Oreochromis niloticus: one gene and its partner. The protein of the gene in region 1 purifies or fractionates together with the protein of each later gene. This does not show direct contact. Links are inferred from orthologs where the notes say so. Each region holds a gene or a part of one and is shown in the gene's direction. Other genes may lie near its edges. The genes, in order: obsl1a and camkk2.

Region 1 (7,093 bases):
ATGTGTTATGTATTCGTTTTGTCTGAAATTGTATTTTTCTCACAATATTGTCCACAACAACAAATGATCAGGGACAATACAGGCAGGAAAAAAACACACAAAAGATCTAGATCCAAACATTTGCCTGCACCCCTTTTATTTACTAGCCAACATAATATTATGCTAGATTGATGTCTTTTTTATATATATTTTTTGTAAAAAAAAAAAAAACTTCTTTACCAAAAGACTTTAGGAACCAGAGAGGTCTTATTTGATCTGAAGTCAGGGTATATTCACTGCTGATGTCGATGTTATGCTTACAGAACAATTCGAAAACTGCCACTAAAAATACTCCAAACTTAAAAATATAAACACATTGTGTTTATATTTTTAATTCTAAATGTCATGTGACTTTTCCAGATTTTTTTTTAAAGAAATTTTTCAAATACAAATGTTTTTGCTGCATCACATTATGATGAATCTGGGTTTTCAAGGGTTTGTCTTCCATATTTATTCCTGTGCTTATGGACAGGTTTAGGTGCTGGCTGTTTTTAGTTTTCACTCAAGACTACCTGGGTCTTGCAAAGCTACAAATATGATTTGCCCCAAAATCAAATTGATGTATTTTCTGGCTTGTGGGGCTTAGATTATATAGGGCTGTGCAAAAGTCATGAACCATGCTTCACTTCTTTATGTTTTGCTAAAAACAAAATGGGAACTAGGTGCAATAATTTTGTGAAATGTGTGCAAACTTTAAGTGTATAGCAGTAAATAAGGCAATTCACAACTATAACAAGCTTGAAAGTCAATATTTGGTATGACCCCCTTTATTCTTCAACACAGCCTGATCTCTTGTCGGCAGCTTTTCTGTAATTTCTTTTTAAGTATTCTTTAGAAATAGTTCTCCAGGCTTCTTGAAGGACATCCAAAGCTCATTTTGTTCTGTTCTCTTTCGAGATGATCCCACACTGCGTCAATAGTATTGGGTACGGGCTCCAGGGAGGCCAATCCATGACTAAGCTGTTATGACACAACACCAGTTCATCATTTGAGTGAGGTGCCTTTGCATGCTTGAATGATGAATGATTTGTCTTAACAAACAAAAACATTTATCTGAAAATAGGTATGAGTACTGGACTGAAAACAGGTTAAAAAATTTTAAAAAGCAGACAATGTGCATAGAAGAACGTTGAAATACCTTCAAAAACCTGGAGAACTATTGCTCAAGACCCCCACTATAAAATTAAGAGGGTCACTGGAAGCAAAGACTTGCAAATTAGGAATGAGTCAGCCCTGTCACGCGGTGTTCAGGTCACTTGAATCGGGACTTTGGGACAGTGTGGCAGTGTTTGTTGAGAAAGCTTTTCCTAAAAAGGAAATGTTACTCGCATTCAGACTAAAGCTGCCTGAATTTCCCCGAAAGAGAGTGGAAGAATGACCTCCAAGGTCACAGTTAAATGGTAAATGGACTAATTCTTAAATAGTGCTTTTCTACTCTTCTGGAGCACTCAAAGCGATTTATACAACATGTCTCATTCACCCATTCGCACCCATTCATACAAGCACTTTTCTCTATTGTGATAATGGTGATGATATGAACTGAAATTTTGGTACAGATGGTACAGCAAACTGTGCTCACAGACAGATTTCTACAAGTACGCACAGAGATTTCTCCAGATTCTCTGAATCTTTTGATAATATTATGTACTGTAGTCAATTTTATAGACACTGTTTTTTACAGAAAGGCAAACCTCTGCTCACCTTTACTTCTGAGAAACTCTGCCTCTCTAAGACGCTCTTTTCCTAGTCAGTCATGTTACTGACCTGATCCCAAGCAATGTAATACGTTTCTCCAGCTGTTTCTTTCCTGTCCTACTTGCTTTTCTAGCCTTTTGCTGCCCAACTTTTTGAGACATATTACTGCCATCAAAGTCAAAATGAGTCAGTAGTTTTTATGACATTATAAAGGCAATAAAATATGGATTTCTTTGGAACTTTTTTGGAGTTGTCTCACACATATAAACAGAAGTTTTTTTTTCCCCAGCAGGCTTGTTGGTTGCATGGAAAAGGCGGAAGAGCTTAAATGTGGGTGATCACTTGACTCTGTTGTTGTTGATGTCTGTGTCTATATCATCTGCCAGTTCAGTACCCCTTTCATTTTCCGTACACCTTCACTCTTGTCTTTTACAGCAGTGATGAAGTTCGAGAAGGATGAGGTCCGGTCTGTCTACATGTGCGTGCCTCCTCTAGTCTCTGGGGACATAAGTACTTCATCCTGGGACCATAATGTTTCTGTAGATTCCCAGTAAAATCAACCATCTTAATAAGACTGCAATGACAAACAGTTTAGCAGTGATCAGAACTGAACTCTCTTTTGTCCAGAGAAGGCCACACTTTTCCAGAATGATTATTCTATTTTGATTTCATGCTCTACAAATAAGAACTTAACACATCTAATGGACAGTACTGAAAAACAGTCCAGTATTTCTGTGTATGGCTTTTAACTTAGTGTTGCACAAAAGGCTTTTAACCTTCTGAAATCTAAGCATTCTCTCTATATGAATATTTTTATAACTTTAACACAGCACAGAAAAATAGTTTCCTTGGTTTGAAACGAGGATGATTGACATATTGTTAAAGACCCCAAGGTCTCAGTCAATCCTCTTCAGCTTTTGATATTGAAACCCAATCTCAGGACAAAGAGCAGAACTGTGCTTTTAATTCCTGGTACACCTAACAGCTGTGGGGATGACCGCATGGATTGTAATGTCAGAGGTATAAGTAGCCTTAAATGGGGCGAGCAGTGTGGTGTGACTCCTCCAAATGACTGTGGTATTAATTCATCTGTTCAGTGATACATGCTTGATAGATCACATCGCGTATTTCATTTAAAACCCTATAAATATGAATTTCTCATCATTATACTCGCACTTTAGGAAAGTTTAGTCTGTGCTTGACATGGCATTGTGTGTTAATTCAGCGCCGTCACAAAGGGGTCGAAGTTATGTGACCTGTATTCAAGGTCAAATATCCGTGACGACAGGTTGCATGCAGTGTGTATCTGTGGCTTCGGCTGTCCGAAACGCTCCACTTGAAGAGATAGGGCAGAGAGCTGTTGTCTGAGAATGCAGGCAATATGTGTCAACACCAAATTCAAATCTGCCACGGAAGGAGACAATTGATAAGTGAACAAGCACCCGTGCTCGCAGGGGGAAATAAAAATACTAAGATGATGACATGGATTTAGTGTTCATGTACTGCTCACCTATACTGTGTATCTTTTAGACACAACTGGAGAGCTGATTAGTTTTTGATCACGTAGTTTGAAATCTGACTCCAGTTGTATGTTACGCATCTTGTTTCATGTTTTAAGTTTTTCCAACAATTTATAGTCTTCTGAATGACTTACCTGTCCAGACTTGTACCATAAAGGGGCCTGAATTAAAATAAGTGTTATCACCTTATGAAATTTTTCGTATTATTTCTCTTCAAATCACAGTGTTATATAACTCATTTATCACTGAGATGAGCTGAAATACAAAACATACAAACACTTTTCACACACAAAAACAGAGATGAAGCGCAGGGCGTGGAGCGTATTAATATGAGTTGTTAACACTGCTTGGTTACAAAAAATTATGGTAGTTACTATGTTACAATTGTGTAACATTAACTGATGATGCAGTAAAAAGGTAATAATATGGCCATGTATCCAAATGCCTAACCCACCATAACATAGTCTTTTATCTGTTTAGCGTGAATTGCATTATCATGACACCAAACTCTTTGTTTCGCTTCCATCTGTTGATCATCCCTCAGTATAAACCATTTTCTAATGTGTGACACTAATTTGACCCTATTTATGGGTCAGCGTGACTCATGAGGCAAGGAGCTCCAGCAGGCAGGGCGTCCTTTCTCTTCTAAAGGTTTAACTCAGGATATCTTTTAAGCTGAGTGATCCATCGCAGAGCTCGGCCCCCTTCTATCTTTAGTGAACCATAGCCTGTCAATGGAGAGCCTAACTTTATCTGGCTCACTGTCATCGAAGCTGCTGGTATTTTTAGGGGGTGGCTTGCAGTGGCAGCAGCTGCAAAAGCATTTACTGCCCCCCACCACCAATTCCAGCTAGCTCTCTCTCACACCACACTCTTTAGCTATTGGACAATGACAGTATCAGAGCTGACGCATAAACCAGGCACTCAGCTGAAAGGCTGTGGTCATTTTACTCCTTGCCACCTGCAACCCAACACCAGACTGAGGGGACACAACTAAGATATTACTATGACTCTGGACCACCAAATGTGAATGGAAGATACCATTTTTCTCAGCTGCTTTGGTGTTCAGTGACCAGCAGGCGCTCCAAACAAGACAAACCAGGAAAACAAGGAACATGAGCTGAAGACTCTAAACGTGCTTCTTGAATGCTCACAGAATAAAGAAAGCACCAAAGATCATCCAAGTGAACTGATGCCAGCTTGTATTTTTAAGAATAACATTTTAAGGCATCACAAGAGAGACAAATGCTTTAAAGACAGCATCTCTTAAAGCGGTAAGTCTGAACTTTAACGACACAATTAGAAACTGTTGAGCTCTTTTTTGTGTCACTGTGTAATTCTCTCCTGAAAATGCCGGAGGAGGATCTTTTCTTTACATGTGCCAACAAAACATTCGAAGACTGACTAAGCTTGGGATGTGCCTCTACCTGTCATAAAGTTGTATGACTTTATGCTCTTTAGATGATTTCTAAGCGTGATGTGTCACAGAGAACAAATGGCTGCCGTTCTTGATGCAAAAAGAAAGGTGGTGACAACACAGAGGAAACAAATGAGCCATGAAAAGAGACAAGTGGCAGCTGCATTACAAATGGAGGCTAAAGCTTTAGATCTGGGATGTCAAACTCATTTGACATTGTGTTTATCTATAACTAAATAACTTTGGCTTAGCGTGAATGGTAATGGGGCAGGTTTTTATCAGTCATAAAGGCTGTAAAACCTTTGAAAATACAGTTATAAGCCAAAATCTATTACCTCCTTCACATTTTCAAAAGCCGTCAAGTGGGCTCGATTGGAGTCCTTGCCGGGCCAATTCTGGCCCCCAGACTTTATGTTTGACACCCTTGCTTTAGATACTGAATTGCTTAAGTTGTTGCTAGAATGTTACAATGAGCTGACAAAGAGAAGCCAACAGTAAGAGTGCAAACAACATTCTGTACACATGAATGTATATAAGGGATTAGTTGGTCCTAGTTAGTGACTGCAGGTGTGTTTGTGTGCTATGTGACACAGAGGCTCCAGCATCTTTTTTTGGACAGACTGCTTTATAAATACACTCTTCACTGAGCTACAGCACCAGCTGTGAGACAACCAAGAGTGTTTGCTCAATATCCACCTCGTAAAACTACTAAACTTCTTTACTTCAGCTTTGGGAACTATACTGAGTATTCTGAAAATTTTTAAAATTTGATTTAATTCAGTTTTATTTAAATAGTGCCAAATACCAACAACAGTCACTTCAAGGTACTTTATATTGTAAGGTAAAGACCCTACAATAATAGAGAGAAACCCCAACAATAAGAAGACCCCCCCCCCCCCCCCCCCACCCCCCTTGAAACAAGCACTTGGCGAGAGTGGAAAGGAAAAACTCCCTTTTAACAGGAAGGAACCTCCAGCAGAACCAGACTCAGGGAGGGGCAGCCATCTGCTGCAAAAGGTTGGTGATGAGAGGAGGAAGGCAGGACAAAGATACACCATGGAATAAATAGATATTAATAATATTATTGTATTTTATAAAACTGTTCACTCTTCATTCTGCTTTCAGTTTGAGTCAGATTACTGATGAACCCATCTGGGACACAATGAACACACAGTTACTGTTTAGATGGTGGTTTGGGGTTTGAACTCAAAAGCTGCACTCATGGCAGATTTTAATCAGTCTACTAAACTAATAATCTTCTTTCTCTTTCAGCTCTTCACAAAACATAAGAAGATCATTTTGAAAAGAAACTTCTTCATTCGACCCAAATAAAAGGTGACATCACCATGGATATTTTTGGTGGCGCACCTCGTGTTTTAGGCTATCCACGTCCTGTAGTGGCCCAGTGTGGAACAGATGCAACACTGAAGTGCCAAGTCGGTGGAGACCCACGCCCAGATGTGATCTGGGAACGCAAAAATGTCCAGATCCTGTCTGAAGGACGCTACAAGATCTCAGAGGAGGGAAAGGTTTACTTGCTGACCATTACCAGAGTGACCCAGCAGGATGCTGGCCAGTACATCTGCAAGGCTAGAAATAGCATAGGAGAAACCTATGCAGCAGCGTCCCTTAAAGTTGAAGGAGAGGCCCAGCAACAAGATGAGGACGCAAGACAGTTAGTGGTCAATGGTGGGACGCAACCTATGCAAGAAAACGGAGAATTTGTGGGACACCTAAATGGCTACAATGCAGTGCAAAATGGTGAACACTGCAAGGCAAATGGAGGGGAACTGAATGGAGGATGGAACAGCGGGCTAAGCGAAAAACAAGCAGAGGTTGATCTAACATCTGATGACAGACCGCGATTCCTCATCAAGCCCCTGTCTCTGCGTGTGGATCGGGGCGAAGACGCAGCCTTCTCCTGTAAAATCTGGGGGACCCCTCTGCCAGAGGTGATTTGGGAAAAGGATGGGAAGAAACTCAATGACATCTTTGAGAGTTCTCACTTCAGCATGAGGAATGAAGATGGTGGCTGGTTCCAACTCAAGATATATCGGACGCGTATGCCCGACAAAGGCGTCTACACCTGCAAGGCCGTCAACTGCCATGGTGAGGCCCTGGCTGGGGCCGTCCTTCTTGTCGAACCTGTACCAGAGCGAGGGGACAGCAAAACATCCTCGACCGGTCACACTAACAGCCAGTGGTCACCAAAGCACAGGGGTGGGAGGCCCGGTTTGTCAAGGATCACAGCAGAGCCACCTGTCGATGGGTCAAAAGTAAAGAAATTTGCAGTAGCGGAGGGGAAACACGCCAAGTTTCGCTGCTTTGTAACAGGGAAGCCAAAACCTGAGATCATCTGGAAGAAAGACGGAGTTCCCCTAGAGCCCGACAGACGTCATCTGATATTTGAGGACAGAGAGGG
Region 2 (7,161 bases), on another chromosome or scaffold:
GACATATTATGAAATAATAAAAAAATACAATAAATGGCATCTATCAAAGATCTACTGATGATCACTTGATGTATCATTTTTTTTCGCCAATCGGTGTATCCAAATTCCTTGTGAACCCGTAAAGCCATAAAAATACAGATCCCACAATGCACTGCAGAGCATCACAGGAAGCATTCGATTGAACCGCCGGTGCATTGTGGGAAGGCGGAAAAAGGGCTCAAAAGGTAGGGAACCGCGTCTGGCGCACGTTGCAACGTCAAAAGAAGAAGCAATAACAAAGAAACTAGCTTTTACGATAGACTCCAGGTAAGAAACAAAAATACTCGTAATTCAACTGAGACTGTAAATTTTTTCCATGCTCATTAGCAGCGTTGTTTGTTTCTTGTGCGTGTGAATCAAGCGCGTTCGTTCAGGAGCCAATATGGCTCCGTCTATTTGCCGAACTAATAACTTATTACTGCAATAAAGAGGCAAGTGTTAATGTTGAAATCGTATTTGTGTCATTTTAAGTTTAATTTGTTACACATGGCATTAATTGGGTTACATTATTGTATGCAACCAGGATATATTATTGTCCATTAGCCTAGCTCGCTAATGAAGGCTAATTCCTCTCGCAGCTTCGATATTCAATGATTTGACTGAGAGATTCGCTTTATTGATCAGAAGTTAACTGTAGCTTGCTCATCCCATCTTAACGAGGGTCACTGATTGTTATATATTAACTCCCAGCAACTCTTTAAACAGTATAAGAGAGCTGATTATCGTTACACAGGCAGTACTCGAGTGAAAAATAAATTGGCGAGGATAATGATGTGTGGACAAGTGAAATGGTTCCTGATTGCCTCTCTGGTGTTTCTGTAACTAAACGCATCGCAAAATTAACAAGCCAGTTAGCCATACAGTTTGGTTACAGTTAAGTGTGATGTTTGATGAAAAAAAAAAAAAAAAATGCGTTTCCAGGAGCTTACAGCCTGTGAATGTGCACAGTGTAACATTTCTTCTGCTAAATTTTGTTTTCCAGAAACATTCTTGAAAAATGTCCATCGGCGTTCCAATCAAGGTCCTGCATGAGGCAGAAGGCCACATTGTGACCTGTGAGACCAACACTGGAGAGGTTTACAGAGGCAAGCTGATCGAAGCAGAGGACAACATGAACTGCCAGGTCAGTACATGATAAAGAGTGGAAAGTGAATGTGGATGGTGCTCCTCCTTACGGGGGTCCCATCAACCAAACTGTTGGTACTGTATTGTTTTTATGATATTTTTTTTTTTTTTTTTTTCCTCCCTTAATTAGAGTAATCAACAGTTTAGTCTTTAATAGGCTGCTTGATCATTTGAACAAGTTTTGTTTACTTTATTTTCAGGTAAATGCCCCTAAATGGCTTAAGGTCTTGTAAGGCAACACCGATAGAAAAGCTTAATGAGGCTAAAAGGAATTGCATTACAAATAATAGTGTCTTTGTTCTCTGCGTCTCTCTGTTTTCCCTTTAGGTAAATGTAAAAGGACATCTGAATGTTCAGGTTCAATTTGTGGTGTTTTTATTTTAATTATAACATTTATTTCTAGTTTTTTGTTTATATTTATTTTTTTCCCCCGTAGTTGTTTAAAGGTTTCCAAGCTTTCCACCTGATGGTGTCAAAATAAGAGTGAATTGTGCTAATCAAGTACTGGAGACCTAGATCTGGTAGCTGCATTAGTAAGAGCCAGTTAATTAAAAATTGGTCCCAGATCAGATGGTAAAAATCTGTTCCTTTTATGGCTTTGTAAAGTTTAGATAACTACTGTTGACTTGAATAAAACACTAAAGAGCAGTTTGATTACATTTGTTGAAAGAATGATCTTTCTGTTTCTTACAGATGTCTAATATCACGGTGACTTATCGGGATGGCCGCGTGGCACAGCTGGAGCAAGTTTACATCCGTGGCAGCAAAATCCGCTTTCTGATTTTACCCGATATGTTAAAAAATGCTCCTATGCTGAAGAGTATGAAGAACAAGAACCAGGGATCTGGTGCAGGAAGGGGCAAGGCAGCTATTCTTAAAGCACAAGGTGGGTGAAAATTCGCAGTGGATTGATACACCTGTCAGTATGTTCAGTAGTGGGAGCAACTGATGGTGATTTAAACTCACTGCATGCATTGATTGCCTTTTTGTGTTTGTGCAGCATAACTAAATCCTACCATGAGAAAAGTGCTTTCTGTCAGTGTTGCTCTGTTCCTTGTGTAATAAGTACAGTCTTGTCATAGGTGCAGGGGATCTGTCAAAAACACTGACTTAAATGTTTCATTGTTGTTCAATTTGTCTTCACATCCCCTTTAAGATAGAGCTGATATTTTGCCAAGCGGGTGTTAAGGATACAAAATTAGACTTCACTGTACTTCTCAAAGTACTGAATGTATTATTAAGGTTACTGAACAGTTTTTCTGGTTCAGTGAGGTACTCTACATTAAAAACTGATAGTATGCCATCTTTGTTTTTTGTGCTCTCCAGTGGCTGCAAGAGGACGAGGGCGTGGTGGAATGGGAAGGGGAAACATCTTCCAGAAGAGGCGATAATTGCTCCAGCTATATTAACATTTTTGCATTGTATAGTTTTTGTTTCCCCCTTGAATTTGATATGTTGGATATCATTTGAAATCTTGTACTTTGCAGTCAGTTGCTTTAATTTCTTTTTTTTTATTAAAATAAAAGTTTTTCAATTTGATGTGTCCTGATGTTTTTGTTTTGTTTTTCTTCTCCCACTTACAAGAGATTCACTTGTGCCAACAGTCTTATTTCAAAACATCCAATATTTAATAAGGAATGTACTAGGAATGCGGTGTTTAGCTTTATCCAAGTAATTTCAGTGTTAAACCCTGGGTTTTCTGTACTATAAAAGGTTACCTGAGTATATTGCCATGTTGCCTTCTGCTGTGGACCAGATAAAATCGGGCCTAAAATCACCACATACTAACCAATCAATTCTTTGGAAATTAATTTTACTATTCCAGAGGAGTCCTTGGCCCTGTGCAGATGGCAGCATTTAAAGGATTTCAGCACCATCCAGTCTTTTTTCCGTAATGGGCATCAGTAGTAAGTACTGCATTGATTCTTAAATGCTACCTCTCTTGTGTTGGCTGCAGACCTTGTATAAAATGTGCATGTAGCCTAAGCCTACATATGAATGTTGTTTTTATCTTTGTTTACGCTGACCTTTAAATTCATTGGAATTCAAAGGTAGCTAAAAAGGACAAAAACCAAAAACACTTTTAAACATTAATGAAATGCTCAATTATAATCCATGAGATTCTTCCCCTGTTTTAATACTAGAAATGTGATATTGGAAAGTCTGTTAACTCGCATATCATTTTCAAGTGTTGTTGACCAAAACACTCAAAGTGCTCACACATTCATGCAGAGCCTTTAATACTTAACTACTGTATAGCACTTCTTGTTTCAGAAACTGACTTCTGATTTCAGTCTGCATTCTGTGTTTAATATGTTACTTTTTAAAAAATATTTTTATTGTAGGTTTATCTTCCTTCATCTCTTTCATGTGAATGGTCAGGCAAGACCCTGGGTTACTTGACACCAGATTTGTGTTAGAGGGATTGTGTATCTCACATTTTTTTGATGCATAAGTGTAGTCTTTAGAAAAACAAACAAACCCAAAATGTTTTGGTTTGTAAATTAACTAGTTAAATTGTGACCATGAATCATCTTTCAGGATTTCAAAGTCTGAAATTCGCAGCAAAATTTACCTTTTTTTTTTTACTAGTTTTCCTGAGTTGTTTTAAATGAATGCAAAAAAAACTTAGAGTACTTTTATACCAAATGCAGAGCAAGCAAGATCTTGAACTTGATAGTTAAAACAGTGGTTGCATCACTCTACTGTGGAGACAGTGCCGGAAGCTTAATGATTTAAAGATAATGGCTATCAGAAGCAACCACATAGACACAAAGGACGTGTAATGAGAGTGGCTTGGCTGTAGTGTCCTGGTAGCCATCACAGCCATCCTAAATATAACAGTCTTATTATATAAGACCTCTAAATAAAATCGGCCCATCATTAAAGAGCCAAAGCCAGTTTATTTTACTAGGTCCAACTCTCCAGTACACCACAAGATGGTGCTACTAGGTCATAAAGCATTTAAGGCAGAAACGACCAGGAACCGTCAATGTTATATTTAGAACTCGTGAAATAAAAGAAGGCAAAAGGGCAACGTAGCCCTCAGCGGAAGTAGCTTAGGTTGTTTGTTAGCACATAATAGCGTTACGTTAAATGCCTGCCGTTAACATTTCCTCCATGTGAAGCACGGGACCTGCGTGCTCAGCTGGATTGGTCCGTGAAAATATCGGTTATCAGTCTGTTACAGTCTCCGTTTCTCAAACAGCTAGCTAGCTCTTGCAGGGCAGAAGCTACTCACACAGCAGACGAGGAAGGAGAGGGAACCTTACATTTCTAAATTGTAGGCCTAAATAACACGCCAAGGTAAGGTTTTTGTTTGTTAAATCACACAGTATATATACAGTTTTCTTTCTTTCTTTTTTCTTTAAAAAAAAAAAAAAAAAAAGATTGCTTCCTGCATCTTTGCCAGCGGCTGTAGCATGAACGTTACTGGGACGTACTAGCATCACTGACTCCTTCATCCACAACATCTGTATCTTGCCAGATGAGGCAGCTGCTAACGTTAGCTGAGCTGGTTGGCTTAGAAGCTCAGAGCTAAGTTAGCTTAGACTTGAGACGGCGGTGACTTTGTGAACGCCTAAACAACACCGGAGCAGCTTAACCGCTTTGACATTTACAGTCGATGTAGCAGCTCCTATCTGTGGGTGTAAGTAACACGAAACCCGGTGGTGCCAGTTGCATGTGCTATTCTTTATCGGTTATCTCAAAGATTGTTTGTGTGGTTGTGAAATTGCAGAGACAACGAGTCTCGGTTTAGTCTCAAATCTTCATGTTGGGCTCTGGTAACATCTAATGTTATCGCTTTTGGGAAGTTGCGCTGACATATTCTTGAGGAGAGAAAGCCTCTGATGGCACACAGAGTCCCCGATGTTATTTATTTTAGTTATCATTGTGTTATTTTTTGTTTACTTGTATACAAGTAATTTTAGTCTTTTGGAAAACAATTTAAAGTGTGTATATATATATGTATATATATATATATATATATATATATATATATATATATATATATATATATATATATATTATTTGACACATTTAACTCCTGGCATCACTCTACAGAATAAATTGAACTTTAACTTTGATATAGTAGGTTTAGTGGTTATTTTATAAGGTTAGCCTTAACCTTCCAGTAGATACAGAGTAGAAATGTGTAGAAACACATTTAATGTGTTGTACCTTCATTCTGGAAAATGCCCTTTAAATTTACTTGTATCATATTTTTTTAATGATTATGATTATGATTATGATTATTATTATTATAATTATTGAAATTCTTTATTTTCATTCAGCAATTTATGTTTTGAAGGCTGGTGACAGAACTAGTAAAATATGTTTACAGATTATTTTAAGTCTGTCCAATAGAGAGGTAAAGAGAGATAAGGTGCACACTTTAAATAATACATAAATAAATAAGTTAGAGTAAAAAAAAAAACAATAAGAAAATTAAAATCCAGTTTAATAGGTTTAACATATTTCACCCATTAATTAATCCCATTAACCTTTTACTCCCAGTTTCCTTAATCCTTTCCATGGTATAAATATCACTTACTATCTCTGTCCCCTCTGTGGCGGGGGCTCTTGTGTCATATCATTAAAACCGTTTAACAGGAAATGGCTGATATTTGATTTGTGCCATTGTAACGTAGGGCATGACTGATACATATTTTCACAGAGTCTTTGTGGAGTTTGCATTGCTGCCCCTCCGTGAATCCACTGGAGGGCTGTTAAAAGGGAGATCTTTTGCTCCACCATTGTCAAGTGCTTTCGTATCAAGGAGGCTCAGATTGGCGGGCTTCTCTCTGTCTTTATCTTGCAATACAAAGCAGCTTGCTACATAAATAAAATTGAAATAAGTTCAATTTAATGTCTGGGTCACCAAATGAGTTTTTCAGATTCTCTCTAAATTGTGCTGTGATTATGTGGCAACACTGCAGCTAAGTTGATCAAGGACAATAATTCCTCCATTTACAGGAGCTTATCTCTTGCACGGTGCCGGACATCGCTGACAGTGTAACCCTGTTGATCTTTTAATGAAGCTGGGGATCCTCCTCTGCTCCAGATGGCCCTGTGTTGTACTGGTATTTCCATAACACAGTGCCTGTGTTGTTATTAATGCTCTACATGGCTTGGACCCCCTGCAAGTTGTGATAAGTCCTCTCTTCCCCTCCCATCCTCTCCTGGTCGGATAGTGACGGGCAGGTCACATGATTTTTGTTATGGTAAAAGGCACGGTATGGCATCTGGAGCTAGGCAGCATCTGTTGGTGTTTCTCGAGGCTCAAATCTGACTCCTTGTTCTTCGTCGTGCTGCTGTGATCCGCAGGGATCAGGGAAGTTTTGGGCTTTAGCCAGCAGTTCAGTCATTAATGATGCACAGTGTCTTTGTACAAAAATGAAATTGAAGTCTGTGCAGTTCTCTTGTATCACAGAAACTTGGTGACCTTTGAGGTAGCGTATTTATCTTTAGTGCGAGGGAATTGGGAGTTTGCAGTTTCAAAAATGACTTTAGCAAATAGTGGATGCGAAATATTGTATCAAACCAACTCATCATGATTTCAGAATCTGAATCAGAATACTTTATTGATCCCTAGGGGAAAGTATGTAAGCATGCAAGTACAACTCCTGCTGAAAACCCAGACTTTCTAGGTGGGAAACGAGATTTGCAGTAATATTGTCTTGTCTGACTAACAGTTATACTGTCAAGTTAGGAGTTTATGCCATCATCAGTTATGATAATGCATAAACACTTTTTTGTTTTCATGGAAACAGGCCTTGTTTTGTGTCATCTGTGTATCTGTGGGTCAAACTGGGTAAGTTATCACTCACTTCTACTCGGAATACTTTTTTTAATGAATTAAAACCAACCAAAAAGTGTCTGCTTTTAATAACATTTCAGACGTTTTCAGATGTTATTAAAGCCAGAGGTGTTAAATTGACCTAGAAAAAGAAGCAAATAAGCAACATTTATCCTCTACAGCAAAACTGAAATGAG

The links.
Region 2: the proteins of obsl1a (region 1) and camkk2 purify together in Homo sapiens (affinity purification with mass spectrometry; 4 studies listed by BioGRID and IntAct, with this or other methods). This does not show direct contact. The link is inferred for Oreochromis niloticus from reciprocal best matches to the Homo sapiens genes OBSL1 and CAMKK2.

The regions. Positions count from the first base shown.
Region 1 is NC_031986.2:17,450,304-17,457,396, forward strand, and holds the start of obsl1a (obscurin-like protein 1a), read left to right. Parts: upstream 1-4,093; 5' UTR 4,094-4,528; intron 4,529-5,943; 5' UTR 5,944-6,017; coding exon 6,018-7,093. UniProt on the Homo sapiens protein: Core component of the 3M complex, a complex required to regulate microtubule dynamics and genome integrity. It is unclear how the 3M complex regulates microtubules, it could act by controlling the level of a microtubule stabilizer.
Region 2 is NC_031972.2:24,902,720-24,909,880, forward strand, and holds the start of camkk2 (calcium/calmodulin-dependent protein kinase kinase 2), read left to right. Parts: upstream 1-4,141; 5' UTR 4,142-4,470; intron 4,471-4,633; exon of another isoform or gene 4,634-4,813; intron 4,814-7,161. Other genes in the region: snrpd3l (small nuclear ribonucleoprotein D3 polypeptide, like), read left to right, coding at 1,037-1,162, 1,858-2,050, 2,491-2,555. UniProt on the Homo sapiens protein: Calcium/calmodulin-dependent protein kinase belonging to a proposed calcium-triggered signaling cascade involved in a number of cellular processes. Isoform 1, isoform 2 and isoform 3 phosphorylate CAMK1 and CAMK4. Isoform 3 phosphorylates CAMK1D.